Linked DNA regions of Lepisosteus oculatus. The protein of the gene in region 1 purifies or fractionates together with the protein of each later gene. This does not show direct contact. Links are inferred from orthologs where the notes say so. Each region holds a gene or a part of one and is shown on either strand. Other genes may lie near its edges.

Region 1 (7,902 bases):
AGAATTCCAGAAGCAAGCAGACTCAATGCCATGGAGCATAAAGGTGGTACTGGCCACTCATGGTGGCTTAACATGTTATTAAGTAACTTTACATAGTTATTTCCATTTTTCCCTACATATACAATAGCAATATATGAACTTAAAAAAATGTACTTTAGTCTAAGGTCCAAACCCAAATTTGTTGTCTAATTTTATAGCTACACATTGACTCTCCCTTGATAAAAAATGCAAGGGAAATAATTCTTTACTACATACCATGTTCTGGGAAGGGTAATTTTAAAAGACATTTTAAAGAAATGCCTTGTGCTGACAGTTAACTTTGACCCAGAACTAGACATTTAACTTTCACAAAAGTCACCTTACATGAAATCACCCACCTACAAAACCACTGAATCTCACTTGAAAGAGTACATGATAATAGCCAATAATAAGTATTTTAGCACTTTGTTTACATTGATGTTCCTCTGTGAAAGTAACTTAGATTAATTTGTAATCTCATGAATCTCATTAGTTTACCAGGAAGAAAGCACACAGCTTAAGAGCACTTTTCTTTTGATTTGGTACAGGAGTCTTTTGACAAGATACAAAATGTAAACCCAGAAGTTACTATATATAGTGGGAGTCCTCCCTATAGTCCACACAGACCTGCTTCCAAAACAGTTCATTTTTAACGTCTGGCAGTGTATGAAAAAGATTAACAATAAACGATCCCCTTTCAGTACTAACCATGATGCAGCCAAACCTAGTCTGGCCTACTCATTAGGAAATCCTCCATCCTCATCATTGTGTACATTAACATAACATTATGTTTTTTGACTATGGGTGGAAACTGGAGCAGCCGAAGGAAACCCACACAAACACAAGGAGAACATACAAACTCCATAGAGATAGAAGCTCAGGTCCAGAATTGAACCAAGGGCCTGAGCGCTGCAATGCTAACCACTGTGCCATCATGCCAAGACATAATACAACAAGCTTAATTTGCATTAAACCTGTACCAGATGCCAAGTTCAACTCTCCTCTCATTGAGCTTTGCCTCCGCGACTTGGGTGCATTTAACAAATAGAGCCATGCTCCACAAGGAATGCTTAGAAATGTCACTATCTGGGTAATAAGAACACAGAATTCCAATTTAGAGGAACATTCACTTGAAACTAAGTTTATAGTTCTTCTCGATATATATAATTGAAACAACAAAACATTTGTGAAAGTCCTGTGTACAAAAAATAGTTAAAAATATATCAAAGATTCAAGACACTTAACTGACTGACAGCTCACTGGAAATGAAAACCAGAAGAGACAGGAGTACTTCAGGATCAGGGATGGAAAACGACTCTCAAGGGTCCAAAAACCTTATGGGTAACTTTACTGTAACAATGCACAACCTAAACAGAGGGCACACCTGCACACATGAAGAAGGTTTCACAGTCAAACGTTGTGTTTTCGCTCTTCAGCATGGAATAAACCTATTACTTGTTCCTTTGCATGCTGACGCAGCTACCCACCAAGACAGGGGTCTTGTTTCGTTTAGTGGCGCTTCTTTCGGCTGTCCCCTTTATTCTGTCACAGTGATCATCACTTCATAACTCTCACATTTGAGAACAGCCCTACAAAACGTTGAGTTGTTTTACATACTAAAGAGCAGATCTTGACCACTACTACATATAAACTTAAAATACAAATGAAAAAAATAAAATCCATAATTTTACTATTTAATCTAGACAAAATACCAATCATTATTAATATACCTCTATTGAATTTAAAATCACCAAGGGCTAAAGGCGAGCTAATTCAACTTCCATGTGAGGCTACACTTAAGTCAGAAGTTGCCACTGTAAGCGTTGTTTTAAAAGTAAACACTACTCTGCCTTTCAGTACTTAAAAATATTCTGAGCAAGAAACAAAGCAAGGAAAGTTAAGAAAGAACGCCAGCTTCTAAAAACCACCGCTACAGCATTACACCGGAATACGGCGGCTCATCAAAAACAAAATACCTTAATAAACTGGGCCGAGGTCTCGTTGCTCGAATTTAGGGAACCTAGACAAAGTGCTTATCTGATAAAAACGCATAACTACTACGATAAATAGAGATCGTTTTTCGTATAGCTACGTTACCGGACAACACAGTTAGCCTGCACGGCTTTCGGAGTCTGCTATGTGTAACTATCGGCGCCATTTTAGGAATGTACTACAGCCCATCGCAAAAAGCAATCGGAAAGCGACGCATTCAATTTAACGCCGAATTTCACCGCTACAAACAATTCAGTGCCAAGATGTCCGCAGGCAGTTCGAAATATTAATCATTTAAACTACCTTTCTCCGGCAGCAGTGCTGTTTTTTCTATTTTAAAAGAAGTTCCTAAGTCAATGCATTTAACCTATATATCTTGCACCTTCAGAGCTGCTGCAGGCTTTAGATTAAGGTCTATTTCTCAGCTCAGTACTCTTGAATTATAAACTGTTAAATGCTTGAAATACCGCTTCAAATGAGCTTTTACGAATAATACCTCATTCATTTGAATCGGTAACCAATGGCAATCCACTCCGCCATCTTAACAAGCCGGTATATGCAGGGCAAGAGAGGACCCGCTCGAAACCCTCGACACCGTCCCGTCCATACACCTTTCCACCAGTTAAGATGGACATATTTCTGTGTTGTACTGAAGAAAGACAATAATTACCTTTTCGCAGAGAGTCTTGACTTGGCTTTCCGAAAGCTGCTTGCACTCGTTGAGTTGCTCAATCCATTGATCAAGTTCCTTCGTGAACGCCTTTTCGTCCATTTCTGAACGTTACCCTAAAAAAGATTAAGTATAAAACAGAAACGAAAAAAATAAAACGCCCTGCCCTATTGTTTTACAAACCCCGTTTACTCTGCGAGGGAAGGGAAAGACTCAGTCCCGGCAAGTGGGAATTATAATTATTAACTGAAGCAGATAAAAAAAGAAATACGAAGACGTCAGTCAACCGCTTTCCCACCCCTGCCTCTCCGGCTGCCTAATGGCCGTCCTGACGTCACGAACGACGCTGATCACTTCCGGTCCCAAAAGGAAGCAAACACAGTCCGCCTAAAACCGCACTGGGAGTGTGGTAAGCCTGTCTGCAGCGCTGTTGTGGGCAATGTTGCTGGTTTTGAGTACCGTGTTACACCCATACGCGCCATTCTTTGGAGGTGTTATAGCTCGGCTATCCGAAATACTGTAGCTGTTATAAAATAGATTGAATGCTATAGTCAGTACAGAAATACATGTACATTTACACTGTAAAATAATACACGTTTAGAAGGATAATGCCCTGTGTAAAAAACAGAGAATGTAATCTTAAAACAATAATATGTCATTTTATGTAGGACATTTAAAAGCAAACATTTAAAGCCCTTCACTCTATATAATTAGCACATCACAATTAAAATTGTGGAGCTCAATATGAAAGCAAATAAACAAGCACAAAAATCCTTTTTGAAAAAGATAACTTGCTGCTTACGATTTCAACAAAAAGCAGGGTTTTGACTGACAACGTCCTAATCCCCCTTATTCGCTTGAAAATCGGTCATGGCTTGTGAATGTTTTTTAAATCTTCTACAATCCATGAGTGTCAGACATTCGTTCTGAAGACAAGTTTCCATTCAATGTTAAAATGGATGTAATGGATGTAATGTTTCATTTTAATTATTATGTTAATCACCAAGACAATGATGTGTACAGCCGTCTTATACTGTTATAAGACATTTGTGTTAATGAATACGGTTGTATTTGAAGAAGGCTGCTTCAATATTAAGATATGAATTCAGTCTAGGTCCCAGATAGGCTTTTTCTTTTTACGCATTTAATGTGCGTCTTCAATTCTAAGGACTATTTCCTTTTTTTTTTTTCAAATTACCTGTTTTACTTCAAGTTACATTGATGGATTCCTATCACAATGTGCTGAATATAGAAGGACAGAAGACTATTTACCCAGCACCTGTAGAATGGTTGCCTTTACAAGGTGTAAAACATGCTGACATGCTGTTGAACTTTGGCTGTCAGCTGTAATTTGCTTGCATAACCTAGTTATTGGTCTATTACTGTTGTCATGTCTTACACGTTTCACGTTTACATCCGAAGGGTTGCAAAATATTTATATTTGAGAGTGAAAAAGTGCCTTTTAGAATATTTAAGCATTTGTCAAGTAAGTCAAGAAATAACAAAAAGGGAAAAAAGTACAGCCGTTTTGTTTCATGTGCTAAGCTTACTGTCCTAATATTGTTGAGTCTGTTTTGTATTACTTCCCTGCCCAATTGAGAGCTATGGTTAAGAGACGTTATGGCATCAGATGTACCAGCTTAGATTTTGTTGTTTTGTCCTGGTTGCATGATTATACGCAGCATTCCTGCCATAAATACAAAGTGGCTTGCTGTTGATTGTGTATCTTGTCACCTTCATAAATGCTGATGCTTACAGTAGGTCTGCCAGTTTCCAATTTATATGTGCGGAAAATTAAAAACCACACACATATATATATATACTGTACACAGTATCTTGCAATTATATTAATTTGCAATGAAATTAATAGGTCACACCATAAAGTAAGATATCTGAGAAAATTATATGGATTTTTCTGAGTATTAATATGTGATAGAAATATCTACATTTAAAAAGCTTTTGTAAGAGGATCTTCTGCAAATACATGTGCATTAGTAGTCACATTTATAGTTACCTTTATTTCACAGTAGAACACAAACAATGTGATCTTTAAATAGTCCAGTCACAATGACCATGTCACAGTGAGAAACCACAGCATTTCTCTCTGGTAACAGTGGTTCTGTTGGATGAAGTCATTTATTTAGAGCTTTTTTTAAAGTCTGGCCAGGTGACCACAACAATTAAAGCATTGACATTTCCCATGGAGATGAAGTCATTTATTATTCCTGTAAATAGCTGCCAAGAAAATAAATTTTGCTAGACTTCTTCACTGCAACATGAATCAGCAGGTTAAATACTAAAGAAAAACAAAGAACATTCCCATTTCTTTAAAAAGAGTGCCACAGCAGTAAATGACCTAATGGTGTACAAAAAAGAAGCAATCTAATTATTCATATTTTTAAGCATGGGATTATATTTATTTACATGAACATTATGTGAGCAAGGAAAATGATAAATTATTTGAAAAAAAGATTGAAGAAAAAAGATAGGAGCATTACTAAATGGCTCTGTGATTCTCTGCATATGTTAATATTGTATGAAAAACTTTATACAAAAAATACTGATCAGGACTATTTATTTTAACAATCAGTAATTAATCATCCATTAATCAATTTTCTAACCGCTTCTTCGAATTCAGGGTCTGGGGAGCTGGAGCCTATTCTAGCAGGCAACAGGCACAAGGCAGGGTACACCCTGGATGGGACACCAGTCCATCACAGGTCATACACTGACACCTAGTGCCAGTTTTCCCAGAAGCAAATTAACCTTCCTGTATGTTTTAGGACTATGGTAGGAAACCCACACTGACGCAGTGTATACATTCAAACACCAAGCAGATAGTACCCCAGGTCTGGAATTGAACCCAGGGCCATAGTGCTGTAGGGAAGTGATGATAACCACTGCACTACTGTGTGGCCCATTAATCATTTTTATTGTATTGGCCATTGAGGGGACCACTGGGCTAACTATTATTTATAGTTAGAACTATTATCAAGCACAACCAGCAAGATAAGCAGTTTCACATTTTGAAACTATGTTAATGTGATATGGATATGTTTAACGAGGGAAGGTCACGGGTTCGATCCCTGTATGGCCCAGGCAAACTCCTTCTCTAGGGGTGGAGCGGTGGAACTGTGGCTAAGGATCTGCGTCTGTAGCTGGAAGTTTGCCGGTTCAAATCACGCGGCCAGCAGAGATATCCTATACCATTGGGCCCCTGAGCAAAGCCCTTAACCCCAGCCGCTCCAGGGGCGCTGTATAAATGGCTGACCCTGCGCTCTGATCCCAAGCTTCTCTCTCCTGGTCTGTGTGCCTCTGTGTCTCATGAAGAGCAAGCTGGGGTATGTGAAAAGATGAATTCCTAATGCAAGAAATTGTATTTGGCTAATATTGACAAAATGCCTTTTAGACACATGTGGCGTAATTTTTAGCACTGCTGCCTTACAGTTCTTGGGTTCTGGCTTCAATCCTGGATTTGAACCCCATACCTGTGGAGATTGTTCTTCCAAAGCCTGCATGGGATTTCTGCAGGTACTCTGGTTTCCTCCCAGCCCCCCAGCAACATGCTTCCTAGGTTAATGGGTGCCCCCAAAGTGGATATGTGTGCTCCATATTGTATTGGTGTCCCAGCACATATGTAGCCCTGCCTTGTGTTTCTGAGATGAGCTCCAGGGTGCCATGACCCTCACCAACAATGGATTCATGGGTGGTCCCATTGGAAGTCTTTTCCAGAGTACACAAGTACAATATATGCAGAAAAGCCACAAAGCAATTTAACTTAACTGTTCTGAACTCAACAGTCTAATTATTTCTGAGGAAAACAAAAAGATGCAGGCTGAAACAAACGCCAAAAAACAACTCCACCTTCTAATTAAGGCTCACAGTGAGAGATACCACACCACTGAGCATTGCTTCTGTTCCAAAATATTTTCAGCTTGCTACCATAAAGCACCTGAAGCAATTTGTGCATAGTGCACACAAATAGTCTCGGACCATGTGAATTTATTATGAAGTATTTTGAAGTAACAATAACAGAATTGTTAAAATAAAGTTCTACATTAAAAAACTTATAAGTAGGTACTCTGAGGTAAAAGCAAAAATAACATTGTGGCTGGAAGGTGGTATAAAATATCAAATTTATGTGAAATTTATGTGATACTGCGTATCTACAGTATATATTATTTGTTATGTACAGAAAGAGATAAATAGATTTAATAGCCCCTACTGCATAGTCTTCCTCAACTGGTATGGTTCTGGATGGTAATATTCTGTTCTTTTCAGTGAATTAATGCTGTGTGATTTGCAAATGTTTAGCACTATGTTAGAACTACGCAGCAAATATTGTATTCATGTAAATTCATAATTTATTCTGCATTGGCACTATCACTTTATGAATTGTTTTTTATGGAAAAAATCCCTGTAAAACAAGATACAAGGAGTTGTTTGCATTGCATATTCGGGAAGGAAGTGGCTCATTCGGGGGTACTGCTGTCCTTGTGACGACTACTCTGTGTATCAGTAGAAACCTGAAAAACAGAAGAAACTCATTGCCGTGAAATTACATTTCAATCAGTCAGACTATTGAGACAAAGAAAGCCACGAGTGTCTTCTGTCGTACTAAATATAGACAGAATAAAATGAACCGTGCTCAACTTAATTAGCTGAACCTGTTATCTGCATGCCTTAAAATTGTACTTTCTATTACATTTGAAGCTTCAGAAGAAAGAGAAAAGGACTTGAATTATATATATAAGACTTTATTGATCCCAAAGGGAAATTGAGGAATTATATGGTATAAAAACACAAAGCTGGTGCAATAGTTAATGTTAAAAACATTTTCTGCAATAAAGTGTTTCAGAGTGTTAACAGTATCATCCCTTAATGGAGCCCCATATTGCAGAATGACAACAGAGCTGCTTATCCATCCTCCGAATGTTGCGTTGAGAAAGTATTTATTCTTAATAGAAAGTGAATAGGAATGTTAAGAAGTGGAACCTTGCTAATCACATGTTGAATACACATTGTTCATCTTGTATGTGATTCCATTCACAGATTAATTACTGGTGGGATACAAATGAACTGTACATTTATGTAGAGGAACAACTCATTGCAATCTACAAAACCTTTAGAAAAATGCACTTTATTGAACTGCATCGTGTCTTCAGCTTTATAGTATTACCCATTCTTTCATTTTGTTGATACCATGTTTTTCCTAATATTTA
Region 2 (6,939 bases), on another chromosome or scaffold:
CCACAATTATATTTGAATGTAAGTTCTGAAATGTAGCTGAATACAAGTTAATGTGTAAGCTAAAGATACATCCACTAACATTTAATTATTTTATTAAAGATTTTTATTGAATTAATAGCATTGGTGAGCCCCCCCCCCCCATATGTAAAACTACAAGTACTTTTTTCACCCACAATAAAGACTCCAAAAAGTTGTGAATAAAACAACTTTTTTTCACTAAGTATAGCACCTGGCCTGTGTTATTCACAATTTCACTGATTTGCATCCTTACCAGAAAGTGGTGCAAACAAGGCAGCAGGACAAGGTCTGTAAGGGTGAAGTACAGCCCCTCTGCAAACACATGCTCTAGGGCGGGCAGCTCAGTGGTCTTGACTCTCCTGATGTTAGAGGGCCCCCTAGTGGCTGACAAAGGTGTATCCTCCACAGACAGCTTGGCCAAGGCAGCCCTCAGCTCCAGCTCTTCCGAGTTCACTGACTCCCGGAATGAAGCAGGCTGGGTGGCAGAGCCTGCCTCTTCCTTCTGCTGCTGCAGTTTCTGCCGGCGGATCTTGTCGTCATTGTGGACCTTAACGGGCTCTTCCAGTTTCTTCTCCAGGCGCAAGATAGCGGCGGGTATCTCTGGATCTGGGCCTGCAGGCTGCCTGAGAAATTCCTCCACAGCTGAGGGGATGTTGAGCTCACAGAGCCGCGTCCATTGACTCACCTAGGCCAGAAATCAACACAGTTATTCCAGTAAATAGAATTCACTAACATTTCCCTCAAGACAGAGATACAGCAGCCCCATGTCCCCTTTTAAAACTATTATCATAATCACTGATGACCTCCCCTACCTATGACAGAAGTAATATAAGGTTTATCCTGGTGATGCAACATAACTACACCATACAAGTAGCAGAAAACAGACCTGTCATTTGTTCCTATAAACTAAATCAATTTCCATTGCAATGTAATAAATTACACTATCTGCATTTTCCATCATATGATTTAATATGATGACTACTGAAAGTCACACACAAAACAGAACAGACTACAAATGCCCCTCTAAAGCACATACCACTAAACAAAAGTATGGTAATAATAGCAGATCATGTCCATGTGAACCTCACAAATATAACCTGAGTGCTTGTTTGTTCTGGGGAGATGGGCGTCGAATGGGGTATACTTGTTCTACTTATATGTGTTCACTGTCATTCTCAGGAGCTATTTGTTCAGCAAGTTATCTTTGTTTAACATAAACCCGTTGTGTAAAATGCACTTTCCCCATCTCAGTTAAAAAAGACTTTTTCGTTTCGAACGTGCAGAAATGATTCAGTGAAGTATAATGAGTGAATACCATACTGCTTAAGATCAGGACTGTTTTTCTTCCCCTATTTATTGATGAACAATAAGCTGAAGTGATATGAGAAACTACCTTCGCTGGAATGGTTAATAAAAATGTAGTAGTAAAAAAAATTATCATCACAAGCAATACACCTACAGTAATTAGATAGTCAACAATACAGTCTAGCATATCTGCATTAATAAACAAGCAAAAGGAAAACAAAAGAATGAGATAACAGACTTACTTCGGCACAGGCTTTGAGGCAGGTCTTTTTGAAGCCCAGCAGGGCCGCTACATCCTTGCGGCTGGGATCTTCCTCGCAAGTCCTCTGAATGATATGTCTCAGCACTACGGCCAGGCCTGCTCGGCAATACCTGCCCTCCTCCTCCAGCACCGCAGGAAGGCAACAGCTTCTCACCAGCGCGGGCAGGTCCTGTTCGGAGACGACGCTGGCGGCCAGGCCCCCCGGCACTCGGTGCCTCCATGACTGCGCCGGGTCAGGCCGAGAAGGAACCAGGAAGACACGGAATAACTTGGAGTCACAGTACGACAGGAGAAAGAGCGTTATGGACGTGTGGAGAGGGAGAATGGCCTCTTCACTCTGGTCAGAAATGTCCAGGTAGAGACACTCTTCTCCCCTTTTTGAATTTGTGTGTTTCATTGCATTGGAGGCACAGCAATATACTCTGTAAAAAGAAAAGAATATTAAATGTTCACATAACAGCACAATAAGTCTGTAGGTACATTTATGTACTTATATTTTTAGCTTTATTAAAGTAGAAATATGGGCTAAACCTTTAGAGTACAGCCTCAATCTGTAAGACTCAATGACGAGATAGTGTGATTCTCAATAATTTTCTATACATACTCTACATACACAGGGTTTAACATTTAATATTCAAGAAGTGTATATGTAACATCTTTGAAACTATGCATAGGAAAAGTCATTGCAATGTGATAGTAAGCGAATGTTTTTCCTTTTATATACAGTAGCACTTTGCAAAACAAAGGATTCCCAAGTGCTTCATATATAGAAGGGGATCCACAGTCCACAACTGAAGAGGTGCACCTCTTTGAATTGGCTTCATTACTTTGTTCTCCTTCCCACTAATAGCTGATGTGTGGTGAGCGTTCTGGTGCACTATGGCTGCCGTCGCATCATCCAGGTGGATGCTGCACATTGGTGGTGGTGGAGGGGAGTCCCCATTACCTGTAAAGCACTTTGAGTGGAGTGTCCAGAAAAGCACTTTATAAGTGTAAGCAATTATTAATTATTATTTTGGGATATGTGGCAGTGCCACTCTACAGCAGATCAGGCATAGAAGTGAGAAATTGATTTCCCTGTTGAATTAATACAGAATTTAGGAAAGCCAAATTGCAGGACACAAGGATTCAAAAAATAACAGCCAAAGTCGTCTTGTGTGACTCTGTGTGTCTTCGTGATCTACTGTTTGGAATCAAGCAGACCATTTTAGAAATCCACCTCCTTTCTGTTAAGCAACTGCAACATCAGCACAACTGCAGACCAGTGCAAAACAGATGTCATGACCATTACAGGAAACGTCATTACACTGTTTCACCCAGGTCTCAGAAACGACACACCTAAAATTTAAAAGGGCACGTTAGTGGACTTATCGCAGGGGCATTCATAATCTGACCATATTACAGAGATTAATGATTAGGACTGATTTACAGAAAATCAGACAAACGTATGCAGGTCTGTTGTTTTGCCTTTACATTAGAAATTTACTATGACCTAAAACCAGATTATCTGACTCCTATTAAAAGCTTAACTCAAATGAGAAGCAGCAATAAAAAGCAGATGAATCTACAGAGCCCCCAGAAGAGAAAGACATGCTGTGACCCACACATACGTTCTGCCCAAGAGAAAAATCAGCGTGTCAATGAAAATATGCTACCGTTAAGATTAGTTCAACTTCACTGCAAATTTTTCATTTTTTAAAGGTGAGGAGTAAAAGATTCAACACCCTTCATGCGAATGCGATCAACATCAAATGTAACTGAACAAGCAGTTTTCAAGACAAGTGCACTAAAATTCTCTCTCTAGCCCAAGTGGACCCTAAGACACTATAACAAATCAGACGTTTAATTAAATTAAAATAGTTAAAATGACAACGACATTTCGTTTCATTTACAACATTTAACTTAAAAGTAAAAACATATCAAGAGGTATTTCTGTAGGGTTTTTATTATACAGATCTTGTACACATGTCTAGCTTTATAAACATGTTGCGCCTAAAAGAAGTTGTTGATGTTTATTATTATTTTACTGTTTGAATCTCTCCCATTCAATTCACCGCTTTTCTTGTTTGTTTTCGCAAGCGTCAAAAACGAAATCAGCTTACTCTACTCACAGCAAGCCTCTGCAGCTACAGTTCTCTTTGCACACAGTCACGCTGTTTCAAACCTTTTCTTCCTTGTGTCACCAAGAAACGTGTCCGTGTAACATCTCACACCCTTAACCGACGGTTGGGAAACGTCATCTTAAATTAAATAGTCGTTAAGTAGTTGGAAAAAATGGCACGTAAATGAATTAACTGTTTTTATTATATGATTTAAATGCTGATTAACTGTTTTATGAACGATCAAAAAAGTTTTTTTCCCCGATAGGGTACAAATATTATGTTTTGTTTCCCCCGAACACAAAAAGGGGAAGGATGGTTATAGATCATATCGGAAAGGGACATGCTCACGGCGTAAATTGTAAATATACGGAGCTATATATATATGTATAGGTATATAAATTGAACAGATGTTAGTTTGCATCAGTTTATTTTTGTTTTTTATTTTCGAAAAACAAAGGTAAGAAAGGAAATGCGTTAAAAACAAGAGGTGTTTAAATTACAGTTGAAATAAGTTTGTTGCAAGGTGTATGTATGTACTTCCGTCCAGATGACAGATTAGGAAATCTAGTAGCAATATTCCCATTCCGAGATTTTTACACCAGTGGTGATGAAGTGTAAAACTAGAGAGGTGAAGTAATATTTGGAAAAAAAGGCATTTAATCTCAAAGATTTTGTTATTGTGTAATACGTGTTTTTCTTTAGCAATAGTATATCCTGTGCTGCGGAGTAGTTGTACGGCTGGTTCCGGATTCTGGACAAAATAGTTCGTTCAGAATAGTTCTGAAGGGAATAAATCATACGAATAAATTAATCAAAAATGCTTATTTTTTTCCTTATGATATAAAGCGTTACCACCACTGGCTGTTAGATATTTATAAAAGGGAATACCAATGAATATTTTTGTTCATATAGAAAATATCAGTATCATGACTTAACTGTAATAGTATTAGGTTTTGAAATAAACGACAGGGCATTTCATTAATAAAATTTGGACGATCCAACTGGCAATTTACTCGGTGCGACTGTAACAGCATAACAGCATGTTTCATATGGCTGTGAACCAAGAGATTAATATCGTTTGTTACACTACAAAGTGACTATTCAGATACTTTTACAAATTTCCATTTGACCTCTGATTTTCTGAAAATAGGACAAAATGAGATTCAAGTCATAAAAATATATCTGCAGAAAAAGCTAAACCTATACATCCCTGACAATATAGTGCAGGCTTTTGGTGGAGGTGTCCATTTAGTAAGTAACTATTTAATATTAAATGCAAGCAGTCATTTTCTTATGTTTTCCAGCAGCTGAACAGGATTGAGGGAAATGTGGCCACTCTCTGAACCAGAAAAGAGATTAAATGATGCATAATGTTTTGTCAGTTAAACAGTAACAGACAAAGAAATGCATCAGCCTTTGGCCCTTCCTTCACGTTCAGACTGCACACTTAAGGTATGCTCTGTCACTGATGGCAACTCTCGCATCAAGACCCTTGCAGATTCATGTTGTATGTCCATAACAGCTGACAGAGATCATGGCTGCCACTGTAAGTCTGGAGCTGGACCCAATCTTTCTGAAAGGCCTTGGATACCTGCATTCCAAAAGCAAGGATTCAGCAGAGAAACTGAAGGCACTGCTAGATGAATCCTTGGCAAGGGGAAGTGATTCAAACTATCGGACCACGCTCAAGGTAACCCTTTGCAGAAAATTATGAGTAAGGCCTTACATTTGAGCCATGATGCACTAGTTTGTTGCAGAGCCATGACCTTGCTTTTTTTTTGAGAAATAACATTTTAAAATGTAACAAAAAAGGGCTTTGCCTTGTGTTTGAACCTTGTTTACAAAGGAAATCCTGTAATCTGGACACAGTTCAGCCTACAAGAGTAAAAGTAATCAAAGACTTGTCTTTAAAGAGTTTCACTCATTTTGTTCTGTTCTATTTTTTTTGTTGTTGTTCTTCACTGGCGTGTCCTACCTGTGGTGTGAAATCTTTCTTTCCCCAAACAGGAAGTGGAGGTCTCCAAGGTGACCGTTACGAAAGTGAGCTTGAGCAAGCAGGAGACAAAATCTTCCTCTAGCTCCTCTTCCTCAGGCAGTGGCAATGGCAAGTCAAGCAGCTCTGAAAAAAGCAAAAAAGAGAGTGAGAAAAGAACATCGGAGAAGGTAAACTGTCAGGAAAACGAGGAAAAAAAGGAAGATTCCCATTCATGAGGATGGCAAGCATTTGCCAGTCCTAGTTTCTAAACAACCACTATCTGAAGTTTTTCAGATACCTTGGGTTAGGTATCTCATTCTTAAGGTGAAACTGAGCAGGAATACATGAGTTGTATCATTAGCATGCAAAGCTTATGTAGACTGTTTCACATTTACACAATGTTGTTGAACATTCTGTGGCTTTTTTAATGGTTACAATGTTTTTAACCATCACTCATCTTAGGACAAAGGTCCTTGTGTTCTTATACTTAATGTATTTAAAAATTTAACCCAAATCAGTATTGTTTGCATATATAAATACTGTAATATGAAAAAGAATATTTTAATAATTACTACTTAGTAGAAACCCAATAGGAAACCCAAATCAGTATTGTTCGCATGTATAAATACTGTAATATGAAAAATAATATTTTAATAATTACTACTTAGTAGAAACCCAATAGGAAGTTTGCTATTGCTGGGTGTTAATTAAAATTGGGGGGCTCCTATGATACACGTGCCACAGTTTCACCTGTATTCTGTCATTTCAGGTTAAAGTGGATCCCGTTGATGCAATTGACCCACCAAAGAAACCTCGCCTGGAGAAGCAGGAGAATAGATCGTCTCCCATCACAGTTCAAACTAGCAAGGACCTCCCCATTCCTGATTTGTCCAGCTTTGACGAGACGAGTGCCGATGATTTTGCTATGGAGATGGGTTTGGCTTGTGTGGTTTGTAGGTGAGTAACGTCTCATTGCATACAGTATGAACAGCCTAGGTTGATCACCTATAGAACATAAAGTAATCTAAATAAAGCAAAGACGATCTTGTCTTTTATTACAGTTTTACACATTTGTATGTTTTAGTATATTAATAAATATTAACTAAACTGAAAAATAAAAATTGGCCTGCCATACTTTAATGGTTTTTTTATAATTTTCTTAGATTTTTCTAACCAGTATTTGGGAATAGAAGCTGGTATTTCACCATTCTGCGCATCACAGTTATAGAATACAAAAAAAAATTACTTCAGTTGGGATAGTACCTTTTGGGATAGGT
Region 3 (7,032 bases), on another chromosome or scaffold:
TTGGGATAAATCACAGCTAAAGAGTAATACATTAAAAATAATAGTTAATAAAAATGTTAGAATACAAAATATCAAGCTTTCATGTTTGCATAGTCCACCCTAATTCATCCAATTTAGGGTCACTGGAGTGAGAGCCTACCCTGGCAAGCAACAGGCACAGGGTGGGATAAATGCTGGATGGATCTCCAGTCCACGGCAGGACATACACACTCACACACTAGGGCTAATATTAACATATCAGTATGTCTTTGGACTAGAGCACCCAGGGAAAACCCATGTGAACACGGGGAGAACATTCAAACTCCACGCAGATAGCACCCAAGGAACTAAACCCAACGCCCCAGCACTGCGAGGTAGAAATTCTAATCACTGCACAATAATGCTGCCCTATTTTGTTATGCATTAATTAAATCACAAAAAAAATGTCAGAGAAATTATTATTATGTTCTACCTAATGCAAACTACCCAATCTCTCCTCTTTTTGTAAACCAATTATGTATGTGATTTGTTTATTGATAAATAAAAGAATTACATAACTACAATATTTCCATCGAGTGACTCCAAACCTGAGCTGTAATTAAATTTAAAATACAGCACTAGAGTGCAAATTACAGCTAATGACTAGTGCAATTGAGTGGTAGTGATTACAATTCTAAACATTAACAAGGAACATAAACAATTTTTAAAGGTCTTGTATTTATAACTTTCATTGTCACTGCCATTAAACAGACTTGATTTGTATTATATTACAATAAAGTAACATCAAGATTTGTGAACAAAATCAAGATCTATCATTACTTAACTAAACAAACAAATGTCTTTATGTGAAACCAAAAATTAGATACAGCTCATTTTACTTGAAACTAACAAAACTATGAGTTTTGACAATGAATGTTGGCCATTTCTTTTAGATTGTTTTTTTCTATACTTCTAACCAAATCTTTGTTCATTCAAGCTCCAGGTTTTTAAAATGTTGATTTCCAAATAAGCATTATAATTATTTTACAAATGCTGACTGTTTTATTTTTTCTCCACTATTTGGATGTCCAGTTGTTTGCGAGGAATTGTAAAGTCTACAAATAAAAAAAACAACTAGATCGCACGCTCCAACAAATCTTCAGGGTCTTTGTTTAGAGTGGTTTGATTTATATAAATATCGCCATAGGAGAAGTGGGCTTTTCAGCCAACCATCAGATCACATTTTATCCTCTCAATCTAACAGCTTTGTAAAATATCTTGGCTTTCCTGAAGAAATCCAACCCTCTTTACTTATTCTCCACAAACAATTCACAAAGGAAAAAGGGAGAACATGCTAGGTCAACTTTATATTTAAAAGATAACACTCACTCAATTTTGAGGATGTTTCTGGGAAATTAAAATTACATAGAACAAGAAGAATATGCCAAATTCCTTTGTAAAACATCACAACATCATCACTTTCAATAGTTGCCCGTCCAATTCAGGGTCACAGTGGCCCTTCCAGAGCCTATCCCTGGAAGCACTGAGCACAAAGCAGGCTACACTCTGGATGGGATGCCAACTCATTGCTGGGCACACACTCCCAGTAAGGCAAGTGTTACAGAAGCCAGTGAACCTACCAGCATGTCTTTGGACCACGGGATGAAGCCGGAGCACCCACAGGAAATCCACGCAAACACAAAAAATCATGTAAACTCCACACAGAGATCATGCCAGGAATTAAAACCCAGGACCCCTGCACTGGGAGGCAAACATGCTATATACTGTGTCACCATGCTGTTCTTTGAAAAACGTTTCACCAATAACATGTGTGAATTTTACTATGAAGACTGTATTTTTATTTTTTTTGTTGATGGTCTTACCTATGTACTAGAGGCAAAGGCAGGAAGTGCAGCGCTGATGTCATGTCAAGCCCACAGTCCAGCATGATGGTTGTAGATTTGAATTTGAGGACATTGCAGGGCAAGGTTGGATGACCAGACAAGCAGTACTACACAAATACAGGATAACACACATCATGTTTTTAAACCATGAGAGGCAATTGCATTTAAAAGTATTTATCAATAAGCTATGTCAGAAAAATGTTTTTTTTTTATGAGCTTCAATTCTTAAATTTAAATCCAACTACTGGGATATTCTTCCTTCTTTATTCACACGACGTTAGTGATGACATACATGATAAAGTTGATTTATTACAGTCCATCAGACAAACTGGAACAGACATCGAACCATTTACAATTGATTACGTAAAAGAAGAACATTTTTTTAAAGCGGTGAACAAATCTTTTCCTGTAAGTACAAAACAAAGTACAGAACAGTAAAATACTAAATTTGCTTGCAAAACATCATGACGTTGAACTGTACTTATTTTCATCGTTCAGCAACACTGTGCTATATAAAAATAATTACTTGCAGACGTGAAGCGCTTTATGAAAGGGACCGACTCCATCTATTAAAGTGCAGCAATTTGATTACACACAATAGATAATGTGAAGAAGTACGAAACTGCTTTGTCATCTGAATTAAAACAATTGCAGAAAGGCCAGATTTAAAATAAACCAAAACTGAATTAAACCAGGACACTAAGCTTAATACGTCAGGTTTTGCGTGCACTAGTCTTTTCCTTAATGCATATACTGTACATTAGTAAAGTGGTAAACATTAGATTATTTCTATTCAACACGTGTCCAGCTTTTGTAAAATGTAACGTGAATTGTCCAAACGAACTTCAGTCACCTTTTCCTGCTAATAACATAAAAAACGTTCCAGTTTCTCTAAAGTTCCCTCATTCAACTGACCCATGCTTATTGCAGCCTGGACTTTGCAACAAGAAATGAAATAACTTAATTGTATACTCACTAGTTTCATCCTGAATTGTTATGTCAGATGACCTAGATGTACAGTATATATTTACAATCCCCACGCCAAATCTTTTGGATTTCAAGAGTCAAAGTTGATAGTTCACTTCAACATACTTCCTGTGGTCACCTCCTCTGGGAGATGTAGTTTATTTTTTAATTTTCACTGCCGGGTAGCTAGAGCAAAGGGTGAAAAGGGAACAGAACGCAGAGCGACGTGTGACGAGTGTTTCTGTCGGCCGCTACTTTGTAGTCCCGCTGGGAGTAGGTCCATGACGTTAACGGGAATTGTAGTTCTCGGTGGAAGCCTGTCGCTTCAGATTGAGAGGGACTCGGTTTTATACTTTGTGAGAAACTACGGTTCCCGACGAACCTCATTCTGCTTTCTGATGTTGATGTCAATATGGCTGCTGTCAGACAGACAAAGGCAAGTCAGTCTAGTCTCTGACTGAAATCAAATTAGAAGGAAAAGGACAGCAAGGGTTTCAAAAAATAACTCGTGTATGTTTTGTTTCGGTGCTAAATTCGCGGGATCACTCTAGGAATTTATTTGTATTCCTGTTATTAAATGGTGTGGTGGACGGAGGCCCAAGATAAACTGATAAAGGTAAGAATTATGTGTCAATATGCAGCGTCTGGATTAGTTTACACTGTTCGAATGATATACAGGTCGAATTTTGATCAGGTGTATTTCAGTTTTAATGAAACGTGTATTGGTTGCTTGTGTACACTGACTCCGATCTGAACATAAAGCCAGGTCTTTTGAAACTGCAAAAGTAAACATGATTAACTATCATAAGTGTTATCAGTGTTATGCTTAGTGGGGGAGTTATCTTCAGATTTTTGTTCGCACAGTATGTGCTTCTCAACACAGAATGTCCTTTGAGAATGCATTGTCAGCTAGATGTTCATCACGATGCCATGTCTATAAAATGCAAACTAATTCATATTTTGGGAAGAATAAGCGACCTGCATTTCTTCTGGATTATCAACTCGAAATGCAGTAGTCCTAAAATGATCCATAATTTACACATTTTTAAAGTGCAGCACGCTAGGTGTTGCAGTGGGTGGATGGTGTTTCTTACTCCAGCAGCCGTAAACATTGTACCCTGGGACGTGTGTTTATTTTGGTGGTGCAAGTATGTGGTAGCTTTTGGGCGGTGTGGGCGTTTTGGTGGTCTTGAAGTATAATGACGTAACTCATTTCTGAATGTGTGACGTCTGACCGAGCGGAGGTGTATGACCTGTAGTAGCAAATACTAACTCCCTAACGATTATCATTCATGTTCATCATCGTCCTAATAGTGTCAAGTATATTTAGTCTGACCTTGTTTATTGAATCAACACATTCTTTCTCAGTAATATATGTTCAAATTAATTGCTATAGATCAAGGGAATATTGAGTGGGCTGTTCTACATAATGCATCGTTTAGATGCATCAAAAACAGAAGAAAATTAAAGTTGTCTGTTTGAAATGAATTGGAATGAATCAGTTTTTGACTCGTTTTGACTCTTACATATCATTGTGACCTTATGATAATTGCTCTGTACAGTACAAATTAGAAATAAATCTCAATGCATAGTGTGTACAGAATGGAGCAGTCATTGTACCTTTAGCAAACAATGTTGTGTTGTCTAAAATACAACAGTAAGTGAAGAATCCTTCACTGATAACTGCGAAATCCACAGTTCTGGACGTTTTGACATATGTGAGTGTTGCTAATTCTGTTTTGTTGTTTCTCTTTGTAGAACACTGTGAAAACTTTTTGTGTTCAATAATTTCCAGAGGTGTACTGGAGTTAGACTCTAAGATCAGAAAATAATGCAGTTAATGTTAGACCTGTTCAGAGATAAAGAGAATCGCACCATTTTACCTCAGTGTGGATTTGCATTTGTATCTTGAAGAAAAATCAGCATGTCTAGTCAGCCTTTCCTTTAAATGGCTGTCTGCCAAAGTGAGTCACGGGCCGTATGCTCCACTTGTAAACGTGAACTTCTACAGGTATCCAGGCTGTAACTTGCCCCCATTTGGAGAACAGGTGGTGGAAAAAGGGCATGTTTGAAGACACTAACCCACCTTGATCTGAAATTATGATATCACATCTGTCTTGACCAATTGTGTGGTGCCATTAACAAATTGGTGCTGCGTCACTTCCCAAACTGACTGGCAGCAGTGTGTGACTTACTTCTTTTAGGTGAACTGTCATTGCATTTTGTCATCGTTTACCCTCTGTGATCTGGTCTGTGTCCTGACTTGAATTTAACTAACATATCTTCAGATATCGATGGGCAATTTCATAGGCACTGTCTATGCTTACTTTAATGCTTGTTGGATCATGTCACAAATGGGTTTCATGGGATTATATTACTCTTTACCAAGGCCATAATAAAGAACTGTTCTCCTCAAAAATTACAGCATAGCGTTCTTTGCCGAAGTACATGGGTACTATTCTTAGCCAGCAGATCCCCTTACAGAAAATAAGGTGAACATTGCAAGACGTTACTTTAGTAGTTACAATACCATCAAAGCCTAAACTAGAATTCGTCAAGGCTTGGAAACTTCTTTGAAACTTGGGCTTTTAACCCAATAAATCTCAAAGCACTTTACATACAGGAGAAGACCCACTTCTTCTACCTGTGTAGCACAGTGCCCACCTAGGCAGCAATCATGTGCCAGCAGCTCCACTATACAGCAGTTCAGGGATTGAGTTGAGAAACAGCCTCACCAATTCAGTTTAGAGGAAAATTTAGGAAAGCCAGACTGTACGTGATCAAAGTCTACTTTAGACAACATTCCTACCTTTTCTAAAAATGTCATAGGATCTTTGGTTTTTGTCAGGACTTCTATTTCAAGTATCTGAATGTCAGCAAATCCTAGAGCACAGTTGTAACAGGTCCCCATACGGGGACATTGGTTTGGAAATTCTGGCCCAGAGGGAAAAGTGCGATCTATTCCTTCACCAATTCCACTTACAACAGCAGTCTGGTTTTCTTTGGGGTTTCCTATGAACAGGCTCAAACTGCATAGCTTCATATATCTGCCTAGAAGGCGACAATGCTGCTCCTTCAAGATAACAAGGGCCCTTACTTTATCAAATGGCATTATGTGAACATCCAGCCATAGAAGTCAAACCTTTGCTTTAAATTCCAGCAGTGGCACATGCATTACAACTCATTTTACAGACCCAACTGCTGTACTTGAGTACTATCTTCCAGGAGCAACCTGATTTTCCTCAGAACCCCCTCACCCAAGTATTGATCAGGCTCAGCTTTGTTGAGTTGAGATGTGGTGAGATCAGCTCTGATTTTTCTCTTCAGTAGTTCTTTGATGATCGTCTGGGGTGTTGCAGTCTGCTGACAGTGGTAAATGACGATTGTCTGCCAGTGTATGAACAATAAGCAAGATAGCTGTGTTGTGTTTTTGGACCCCTGCTTGTTGGAGGCAGTTACTATAAGCGCACATGACTGCAGCACATACTGCAGCTGCATTTCACAGAGGATGTTTATGTTTTTTGTTCCCTGAGAAGTCTAGATTCATCACTGTAATTATCTTTTATATTCCCCGGGAACTTTGCCAGTGTATTAACTTTCCCCATTGTATCTCATCACCTTTCCGTCAGTGCTTATCGCCGTCCTCTTGTTGGATATGCGTAACCCTCCTTTGGGTACCATGCAAAGTCCATACTAATGGATTTTGTAAATCAAATAAAGCGATGAAATAAACTGATCTATAATTATTAGAACATTTTCCATTTTGTGTGCATGTGTGGTGGAGGTGTCCCATGTGGATATTGCGATGGATGACTTCGGCAAATGCCTTCAACCCACTTCTGTGCACAAATTGCTAGCCTAATCTCTTAATATTGGTTTATTTTGAATTCTGTATTAAAAGTTCCTCAACCTCAGGAATGAATCAATATAATGTGTTTGTGTGTTCATTTACCGTATACTTAAAATATCTCAAAATACCACTTTGGTTTCCATAAAGTGAATTTTATTCATTTGACACCCTGTCCGCATTAATGAAAACAATATCTTTATTTCATAGCTTCAGCAAGGGTAAGATCATTATGTTTAAGGTGACTGTGTTTTGTGCCTGTTTATTGTATTTTGAAGGTAGTTTAAGGTTTCAAATCATAAAATTGCCTCATAATATGAAATTTGTTGATTTCCTCTCAATAATATCGATTTTAAG

The links.
Region 2: the proteins of ppp2cab (region 1) and ints12 purify together in Homo sapiens (affinity purification with mass spectrometry; 4 studies listed by BioGRID and IntAct, with this or other methods). This does not show direct contact. The link is inferred for Lepisosteus oculatus from reciprocal best matches to the Homo sapiens genes PPP2CA and INTS12.
Region 3: the proteins of ppp2cab (region 1) and ints9 purify together in Homo sapiens (affinity purification with mass spectrometry; 3 studies listed by BioGRID and IntAct, with this or other methods). This does not show direct contact. The link is inferred for Lepisosteus oculatus from reciprocal best matches to the Homo sapiens genes PPP2CA and INTS9.

Annotation. Positions count from the first base shown.
Region 1 is NC_090706.1:23,920,535-23,928,436, reverse strand, and holds the start of ppp2cab (serine/threonine-protein phosphatase 2A catalytic subunit alpha isoform), read right to left. Parts: upstream 3,018-7,902; 5' UTR 2,783-3,017; coding exon 2,681-2,782; intron 1-2,680. UniProt on the Homo sapiens protein: Catalytic subunit of protein phosphatase 2A (PP2A), a serine/threonine phosphatase involved in the regulation of a wide variety of enzymes, signal transduction pathways, and cellular events.
Region 2 is NC_090696.1:65,283,781-65,290,719, reverse strand, and holds the start of ints12 (integrator complex subunit 12), read left to right. Parts: upstream 1-3,921; 5' UTR 3,922-4,144; intron 4,145-4,991; exon of another isoform or gene 4,992-4,994; 5' UTR 4,995-5,221; coding exon 5,222-5,377; intron 5,378-5,694; coding exon 5,695-5,850; intron 5,851-6,431; coding exon 6,432-6,619; intron 6,620-6,939. Other genes in the region: gstcd (glutathione S-transferase C-terminal domain-containing protein), read right to left, coding at 272-703, 1,566-1,982. UniProt on the Homo sapiens protein: Component of the integrator complex, a multiprotein complex that terminates RNA polymerase II (Pol II) transcription in the promoter-proximal region of genes.
Region 3 is NC_090697.1:60,386,316-60,393,347, reverse strand, and holds the start of ints9 (integrator complex subunit 9), read right to left. Parts: upstream 3,019-7,032; 5' UTR 2,848-3,018; coding exon 2,839-2,847; intron 1,970-2,838; coding exon 1,842-1,969; intron 1-1,841. UniProt on the Homo sapiens protein: Component of the integrator complex, a multiprotein complex that terminates RNA polymerase II (Pol II) transcription in the promoter-proximal region of genes.